Coturnix japonica: one gene and its partner. The protein of the gene in region 1 purifies or fractionates together with the protein of each later gene. This does not show direct contact. Links are inferred from orthologs where the notes say so. Each region holds a gene or a part of one and is shown on either strand. Other genes may lie near its edges.

Region 1 (4,093 bases):
TAAAATTCACATTAAATACTAAAATGATCGCCATTGTTACAGCTTAATGGCATCAGAATAAAAAGCAAAAGGAGAAACCAGTGCCCCTCTGATTCGTTTTGAAACAGCACCTCATTTTGTGGTATTTTTGGAAGTAACCTTGGAAGTTTAGGTGAAACACCTTTTTTGCAAGTGTTGCAATGAAAAAATCAACATTTTAAAGTAATAGAATTGTGTACGTTACCTCATAAAAGAATTCCTCCTCTGCATTTGCAAACATTAATTCCTCCTTCTGCTGATTTCTCCCTTCTTTCCTCTTAGAATTCTTTGTGGCTTCTGTAAAGGTTTTGCTGATAAGAAGGTAATAGTGACACTTCCCACAAGGTTTGTTTGTTCTCTGCGCCTCCTTTAATTCTTTCCTGAAGATAAATAAATATTCAGGTGTACCATTTAATCATGAGTGTCCATAATTAAAAGCCTCAGCAAGTGTAAATCCCACAGTGTGTTAGTTTAGAAAGTCCATTTGTACTACACCCTTAAGTCCCTTAACTTCTCCCAGCTGAAAGTAAAAACAGACTGTAATACAAAGTTGAACTATAACATAGCTGGTTTTCTCTAAGGAAGTAGCTAAGACAGTATTACAGCACATTATTTGTAAGAGCACAGTTTGAAAGCCCAAGGGTGTTTAAAAAACTAAGTGAAACCATAGACCTTACAGATGAAAATCATCTTTTTGTTTTTACGTCTTACTGAGAGCATCAGTTCTCTTACCACAGTACTATACAAGAGATATGAAGTATTGATCATCTTCATGTTAATCACGAAATAAAACATGAAATAAAACACAGCGAAAACCACTTACTGAAGCTGCTGGTGCATGGGCAAAGCAATCTGTGGTGGTACATTAATGAACCTCTCACTCAGCAGCAAACCCACAGGCTTAGTATCATCCTTCAGGAGCTCATCCAGTTGTTCAACCACGCGCTGTTCACAGTTTTGCTCACACCGACTTAGAATCAGCTCTTTGATTTGTTCAGCACATTGTGTACCCTAGAATCGAAAGGCACACATTCTTTATGTTACACAACAACTGTTTACACAAGAAAATCACCAGCTTCAAGGGAGGATCCAACAGTCCTATAGACAGACTCCTTTAGTGGTTCCTGAAGCAATGCACAATTCCGCAACCCTGAAGAAGAGTGAAACCAAAAATTCTTTACTGACAGGAGCGCAGTGAGGAGCTACGACACCACAACATTTAATAGCAAAACTCAACAGCTGCTCAAGATGGAAGTAAAGAAATGGAAGAGTAGGCAGCTCAGCCGCCCTGGAAATACTGGTCAGATCAGTCTTAATTCTCTGTTTCAATTCTCTGACCTTCAGCAAGTTATGCAGGACTAGATCCAAAAGAAACCGAAGTGATGCAGAACTTCCAAGCCCATAATCCTCCACAGCAGGATTCAGAATCCTCATCCAACTATCACAACATGCTGTTCCAAGCAGAAAAGCAGAACACAGCCACACTTACATCAGCCCAGAAGTTAAACAGGAATACCAACCTTCCTTTCAGTTAAGTTTAGGAAGCTTATAAAACCAAAGACTTCATCATCATCAACATCATCATCATCACTGCTGTCTTCTTGTACTTCTGCTTGCTGTTTGATGAAAGAAAGAGAAATAATTCACACTGACATTCTATTTCCACTCCTTGCACTGGAATATGTTTGTTTGCTTTCCAGAAGATACATTTGTTACCTAAGAATCATATTAATGCTGGGCAGAAAAACTCAGGACCCATTCCAGGGTCCTTTCTAAAGCCCACAAGAGGAAACTGGAGGCTGTGGATGCCCCATCCCTGCAGGCATTCAAGGCCAGGCTGGATGTGGCTCTGGGCAGCCTGGGCTGCTGGTTGGTGACCCTGCACACAGCAGGGGGTTGGAATTGAATGATCACTGTGGGCCTCTGCAGCCCAGGCCATTCTGTGAGTCTATGACTCTATAAATTGCACATAACAATAAACCAGTTTCACTGTTTGGCATGGAAAATATCAGGTCCAACAGGAGAATTAATCCCCAAACAAAGTCAAGCAAGTTACAAACAGCACTGAAGACACGACTCACTTCCAGAAATGCAATGCTGCATTTCAAAGCAAGCAACGTTGTACTTAATTTACAACAGCCACTTCTGCCTTACCTTGATGATACTTCCAATATGATTCTGTTGTATCAATATATCGGTTAACTCCGCGGTGTTAACGGGAGCTTTTAGAAACAGCTGGAAAACAAAAAGCAAGGCTGGTTTAGATGCAGTACGGACAATGTGAGCTGCTGCCTCCTTGCAGCTGTTTATCCACATAAGCATCATCCCTGCTGACATGATGCACAGTACCTGCTGCAGCAGCTTCTTTATCCCGTTGTAGTCACTGTCTGATATTGAATGCGCTTCAAATTCAACATTCACTTCCTACAAAAATAGGGAAAATTAAGCGGATTTGGCGAGCAGGAAAACGGAGCCGGGGCTTTAAGAGACGATAAGGTTTGCTACCATCAGCCTGTCCCCACCCCCATTTTAGTAGGGTAACTTCTCCTACCGGCCAAACGGAACCCCCTGCTCACCCCGTCCATCCCCCTGCTCACCCCGTCCCCCTGCTCACCCCGTCCATCCCCCTGCTCACCTCGTCCACCTGCTCGTCCTCCTCGGACTCCGAATCTCCCGATTCCGGCTCCGAATCCGATCCCGAGTCCCGTTCCGGGGCTGCAGGCCTTGCCCTGCGCTTGGCCGGCGTGGCCATATTGGCGCTGTGCGCATGCGAGGCGGACACGGAAGGGAGAGCGGAGGGAGGGGAGGAGCCGGGCCGGGGCGGCCGGGAGCGGAGCGGGGCAGGTGAGAGGGGGAGATCAAAGCCCATAAGTGCTATTAATGGGTGAGCCTCAGTCGCACCGTGTTTCATGTAAGGCCCTGTGTGTCGTTAATGACGGGGACGAGTGCTAATAAAGTCGCTAGGAGGGGCCTGAGCCATGCTGCAGTGTGTGCACAGGGGGATGTCAGCTGTGTGTGTGCTACATGGATGGGGGCTGCCTTACCTTGGAGGGGCAAGTTGGGTTGGATTGGGACAAGTTGGGCTGGGTCATGTTGGGTTGATTCAGGTTGGGTTGGTTGGGTCAGGCTGGTGGGGTTGGATCACATTGGGTTGGTTGGGTTGGGTTGGTTGAGTTGGGTTGGATTCATGTTGGGTTGGATTCATGTTGGGTTGGATTCAGGTTGGGTCATTTGGATTGAGTCACATTGGGTTGGTTGGATTGGATTGGATCAGGTTGGGTTGGATTGGATCAGGTTGGGTTGGGTTGGGTTGGGTCAGGTCAGTTTGGTTGGATTAGTTCAAGTTGTGCTGGGGGATCTGAGTGGTCATTTTCAGCCTGAATGATTCTATAAGAGGTCTGAGTCCTGCAGTCCCAGGGGATTGCCAGGTCAGGGTTGGGTTTTGGGATGTAGACACCTGAATGGCAGGAATTATTATTCAGAAAAGTTGCTTGTGTTTAATGGTGTATATACAATGTTATCTCACAGGTAATCTTTCTTTCCTTCTCTGGTTATTGAACTCAGCTATTTGCTAGGAAAGAATAGTGGTAAAAAATACATAACATCAGAAAAGGGTTGTTTTCAGAGCATATGTCAGCAGTGTTTTGTAATTCACTTCCATTTCAGTTTATGACATTCCCGTTACGCTTGGCAATCAATCCTTGCTGTGCGACCTATGCAGTTTCTTACAATAAAAGAGGAGCTGGAGTTATATTAAAGCTTGATGTATTTTGCAGCTCTCAGTGTCACTCAGAAGCAGAAACAGCAGGACACATTTCTTTCTTTCTGGAAGCCATCCTCTCTCATAGAAATAGTTTGCAATTAGTTTGGAGGCAGCTTTTCAGATGGGAGGGAGTGGGGAATTGGAGATACGCACTGTAATCGCTGTTACTGAAGCTGCCATGTCTTGTGTGCTTTCTCTTAATGATTCATTGGCGATGCTTGTTGGGGTTCTTGACCCCTTAAGCGTGTTGAGCTGCAAGCTGCTGTTGTAATGTGCTGTGTTGGACAGCCATCCATGTTCCTTTGCTGCTTG
Region 2 (4,282 bases), on another chromosome or scaffold:
ATCTCACAGTACTCTTCCATATCCCACTCCTTTCTTTCTATAAGCACAGTTAACTACAGCATGCTGGATGCAGAATGCACACTATGTACCTAGGACAGGATCCACACCTACAAGTAAAGATAACAATAGGAAAAGAAACAGATCGACTGAAACTGAGTCATAAGTTCAAAATCTAGTACTGTAATTTCTCTCCTGAGAGGAAAGGAAACAGGGAACACGGCTTCCTACGTGATGCTAGCTCAGCTGTCAGTATAGTTCTCCTACATTGACACTACTTACAGTAATCCCCAATAGCTACAAGCTGAAACTGCAACTTAGGAATAATATCAGATGCATCCACACTGAATTCAGAAGCCACATACCCTGTCCAGATCCGGATGAACGAGAGCTACGTAGTCATTGCAGGTAGTGACATTGCCCAGCGCCGAGAGCCGCTCCTCCACTCGCTGAATTCGCACAGAATCTGGAAGGCTGTTACGGATGTGCTGAAGCTCTTGGTCTGTTGTACTGCTCGGGACCAACAGTCCGTGCCTATTCCCTAAGATGACCCAAAAACAAGACAAGGAGAAAGAAAACAAAGAGTTCCACCTTTGGGTAATTCTAAAAAAGCAAATATTTCCATCGTGCTCACTATGATGCTCACACAATGGTGTGGGGCCCCTATCCACTCTTTTCAAGCCCTAAATTCAGTCCCACAGAAATAACGTGACCATTTATTAATACAAAAGCAAAGGTGAGGGGGAAAACGAAGATGAAACAAAGACTTCAGAATATAAACAGGTAAACTGCACTACTTTTATCCAGCCTTTTCAATGGGACACACAAGGTTCTAAACAAAACACTTTGGTATGCTTTCCCCCCAAGAGACACTGACCATCCCCATAAAGCCTACATGTTGTGCTCGCTTTTGTTCCTTTCCTTTAGCAAGGCTGTAAGACTGTGTGAACAGGCTGCCCAGGAACAAACAGCAAGCACCAAGTGTGCTCTACTAAACAGCCAGGCAGTGAAAGACCTCTCTTTGCCCTTCACATCTGGAATGCTCCCTCCAGCAATGTTTCTGAATCACTGACCTCCCAGTGAAACAGAGCGGCTTCTCCCTGCTTACTACAAAAACCAATTTATGCACATCACTGACCTCTCTTCAAGTCCTGACCAGCAGGCACTCCCTCTAACCCTATTTTTGGTGGCTGTTTTATTGTTGGGTTTCGTTTGTTTCTATTGGCCAGGCTTGATTTTTATTTTATTTCACTACATCAGTGGATGAGGGAAGAGCCACTGATGTCATCTATCTGAACTTCAGTGAGGCCTTTGACACAGTGCCCACAACATCCTTCTCTCCAAATTGGAAATATACAGATTTGATGGGTGGACTCCTCAACGGACAAAGAACTGACTGTGGGATCAAGTCCAAAGAGCAGAGGTCAATGACTCATGGCCTGGATGGAGTTCAGTGATGAGTGGTGTCCCCCAGGGGTCAGTGCTGGGACTGATACTCTTTAGTATCTTCATCAGTGACACTGACAGTGGAGTCGAGTGAACCCTCAGCAAGTTGGCTGACGACATCAAGCTGCAGGGTGGGGGCAACATGCTCAAGATGGAATGTCATCCAGAGGGACCTGCACGGGCTGAGCAATGCACCCAGGTGAATCTCTTGAAGTTCAACAAACCCAAGTGTGTGATCTGGCACCTGGGTTGAGGCAACCTCTGTTACCAATACAAGCTGGGGGATGAAAGGACTGAGTGCAGCCCTGCCAAGAAAGACTTGGGGGCACTGGGGGATTGGAAGCTGGTGGGCACAAAACTGTGACAGCTGGAAACTGCCCGCACAGCCCAGAAAGCCACATGTATCCTGTGCTGCATCAAAAGATGCAAGGTCAGGAGAGTATGGGAGGTGATCCTGCCCCTCTGCTCTGCACTGAGGCCTCACCTGGAGTACTGTATCCAGAACAGTACAGAAGAGCCTTAAAAATCATTGCCAGCGATGGTGGTGAGGCACAGGAAGAGCTGAGGTTACTGAGGGATGTGTTTTATGGCCCAACCCTGGAGACTTCCAAGGCGAGGTTGGATAAGGCCCTGGGGTAGCTGATCAAGCTGTAGCGTCCCCGTTCATTGCAGGGGAGCTGGCCTCGATGGCCTCCAGAGGTCCCTTCCAACTCTAAGGATTCTACAATCTTCTCCAGCGTTACAACATCCCTACGGTGCGACCAAATAAACCCCCCGAGGACGAGGAGCGCCGCCGTCTCCCCGCGCTCCGCACCGCACTGCGGGTCTCTCGGGGCGGGCACGGCCCCGCCGTCCCTCCGCTCCTCCCGGCCGCTCACCCACAAACACACACACACACACACACACACACACACACACACACACTCTCACACACACACACTCTCACACACACACACTCACCCACACACACTCACATACTCACCCACACACATCCTGCCGATGATGCGGCAGCCGGCGATGGAGGCGTGCACCACCGGGACGGTCCCGAACAGCTCCCCCTCGAACACGCTGCAACAACAAGGCGCCGTTAGGAGCGGGCACAGGGAGCGGGCCGGGCTGGGCCGGGCCCTCGTGGCTTCTCACCTGTAGAAGTTCTCGGAGCCGCCGATGGCCACCAGGCAGTAGGCGTTGGTCAGCTTGGCGAAGCAGCCCAGCTCGTTGTTGTTCTCGAAGCTGGCGCGGACGGCCATGGCTGCGAGCAGGCACGGACCGACGGACCGACGGACAGATGCACGACCGGGAGCGGCGGCCGCGGCCAACCCCACGCGGCGAGGCCGCTTCCGCTTCTGACGGCGGAAGGAGCGGGACAGAGCGGCCCCGGGAGCGCCAGGAGGAACAGCGCCCCCTGCGGGACGGGAGTTGCTGCTGCCCCGCCGCCCGGATGGACGGGAGCGGCTGCAGGAAAACGTGCAGCGTGCAGGGTCAGCTGCCGTGTGCTGCTCCGTGTGCTGCTCCGTGTGCTGCTCCGTGTGCTGCTCCGTGTGCTGCTCCCAGCCCCGCCTGCAGCCCACCGACCTGCCGTTCCAGCCGTAGCCGCAGTGCCGCCCATGGGCAGCCGCCGCCAGTGTCTTCGTGGTGCGGCACGGCACGGCACGGTACAGCACAGCACGGCACGGTACAGCACGGCACGGCACGGCACAGCACGGCACGGCACAGCACTGCACGGCACAGCACTGCACAGCACGGCACGGCACGGCACGGCACAGCACGGCACAGCACGGCACTGCACAGCACAGCACAGCACAGCACGGTACAGCACAGCACGGCACAGCACAGCACAGCACAGCACAGCACGGTACAGCACAGCACAGCACAGCACAGCACGGTACAGCACAGCACGGCACAGCACAGCACGGTACAGCACAGCACGGTACAGCACAGCACGGTACAGCACAGCACAGCACAGCACAGCACGGTACAGCACAGCACTGCACGACACAGCACAGCACAGCACTGCACAGCACTGCACAGCACGGTACAGCACAGCACGGTACAGCACAGCACTGCACGGCACAGCACTGCACAGCACGGCACAGCACTGCACAGCACGGTACAGCACAGCACGGTACAGCACAGCACAGCACGGTACAGCACAGCACTGCACAGCACAGCACAGCACAGCACTGCACGGCACAGCACTGCACAGCACGGCACAGCACTGCACAGCACGGTACAGCACAGCACGGTACAGCACGGCACTGCACGGCACGGCACGGCACGGCACGGCACTGCACGGCACGGCACAGCACTGCACGGCACAGCACAGCACGGCACAGCACTGCACAGCACAGCACAGCACTGCACAGCACAGCACTGCACGGCACAGCACTGCACAGCACAGCACGGCACAGCACGGTACAGCACAGCACTGCACAGCACAGCACGGCACAGCACAGCACTGCACGGCACAGCACAGCACAGCACGGCACAGCACGGCACAGCACTGCACGGCACAGCACTGCACAGCACAGCACGGCACGGCACAGCACAGCACAGCACAGCACGGCACAGCACGGCACAGCACAGCACGGCACGGCACAGCACAGCACAGCACAGCACAGCACGGCACAGCACGGCACAGCACAGCACAGCACAGCACTGCACGGCACAGCACTGCACGGCACAGCACGGCCCGGCACGGCACAGCACAGCACAGCACAGCACAGCACTGCACGGCACGGCTCGAGGCCCTGTCTGAGCTCGCGCTGCCCCCCACGCAGCAGGGACCCAACACGGCTGTTTGCAGCAGAACAGCGCCTTTATTTCTAACATGGCCCCG

What was found. The genes of interacting proteins can lie anywhere in the genome.
Region 2: the proteins of BCCIP (region 1) and EIF6 purify together in Homo sapiens (affinity purification with mass spectrometry; 3 studies listed by BioGRID and IntAct, counting the BioPlex papers as one, with this or other methods). This does not show direct contact. The link is inferred for Coturnix japonica from reciprocal best matches to the Homo sapiens genes BCCIP and EIF6.

The regions. Positions count from the first base shown.
Region 1 is NC_029521.1:28,918,597-28,922,689, reverse strand, and holds the start of BCCIP (BRCA2 and CDKN1A-interacting protein), read right to left. Parts: upstream 2,805-4,093; 5' UTR 2,771-2,804; coding exon 2,654-2,770; intron 2,443-2,653; coding exon 2,368-2,442; intron 2,254-2,367; coding exon 2,173-2,253; intron 1,635-2,172; coding exon 1,539-1,634; intron 1,030-1,538; coding exon 842-1,029; intron 399-841; coding exon 224-398; intron 1-223. UniProt on the Homo sapiens protein: During interphase, required for microtubule organizing and anchoring activities. During mitosis, required for the organization and stabilization of the spindle pole.
Region 2 is NC_029535.1:1,201,132-1,205,413, reverse strand, and holds the start of EIF6 (eukaryotic translation initiation factor 6), read right to left. Parts: upstream 2,802-4,282; 5' UTR 2,694-2,801; coding exon 2,587-2,693; intron 2,512-2,586; coding exon 2,426-2,511; intron 539-2,425; coding exon 363-538; intron 1-362. UniProt on the Homo sapiens protein: Binds to the 60S ribosomal subunit and prevents its association with the 40S ribosomal subunit to form the 80S initiation complex in the cytoplasm. Behaves as a stimulatory translation initiation factor downstream insulin/growth factors.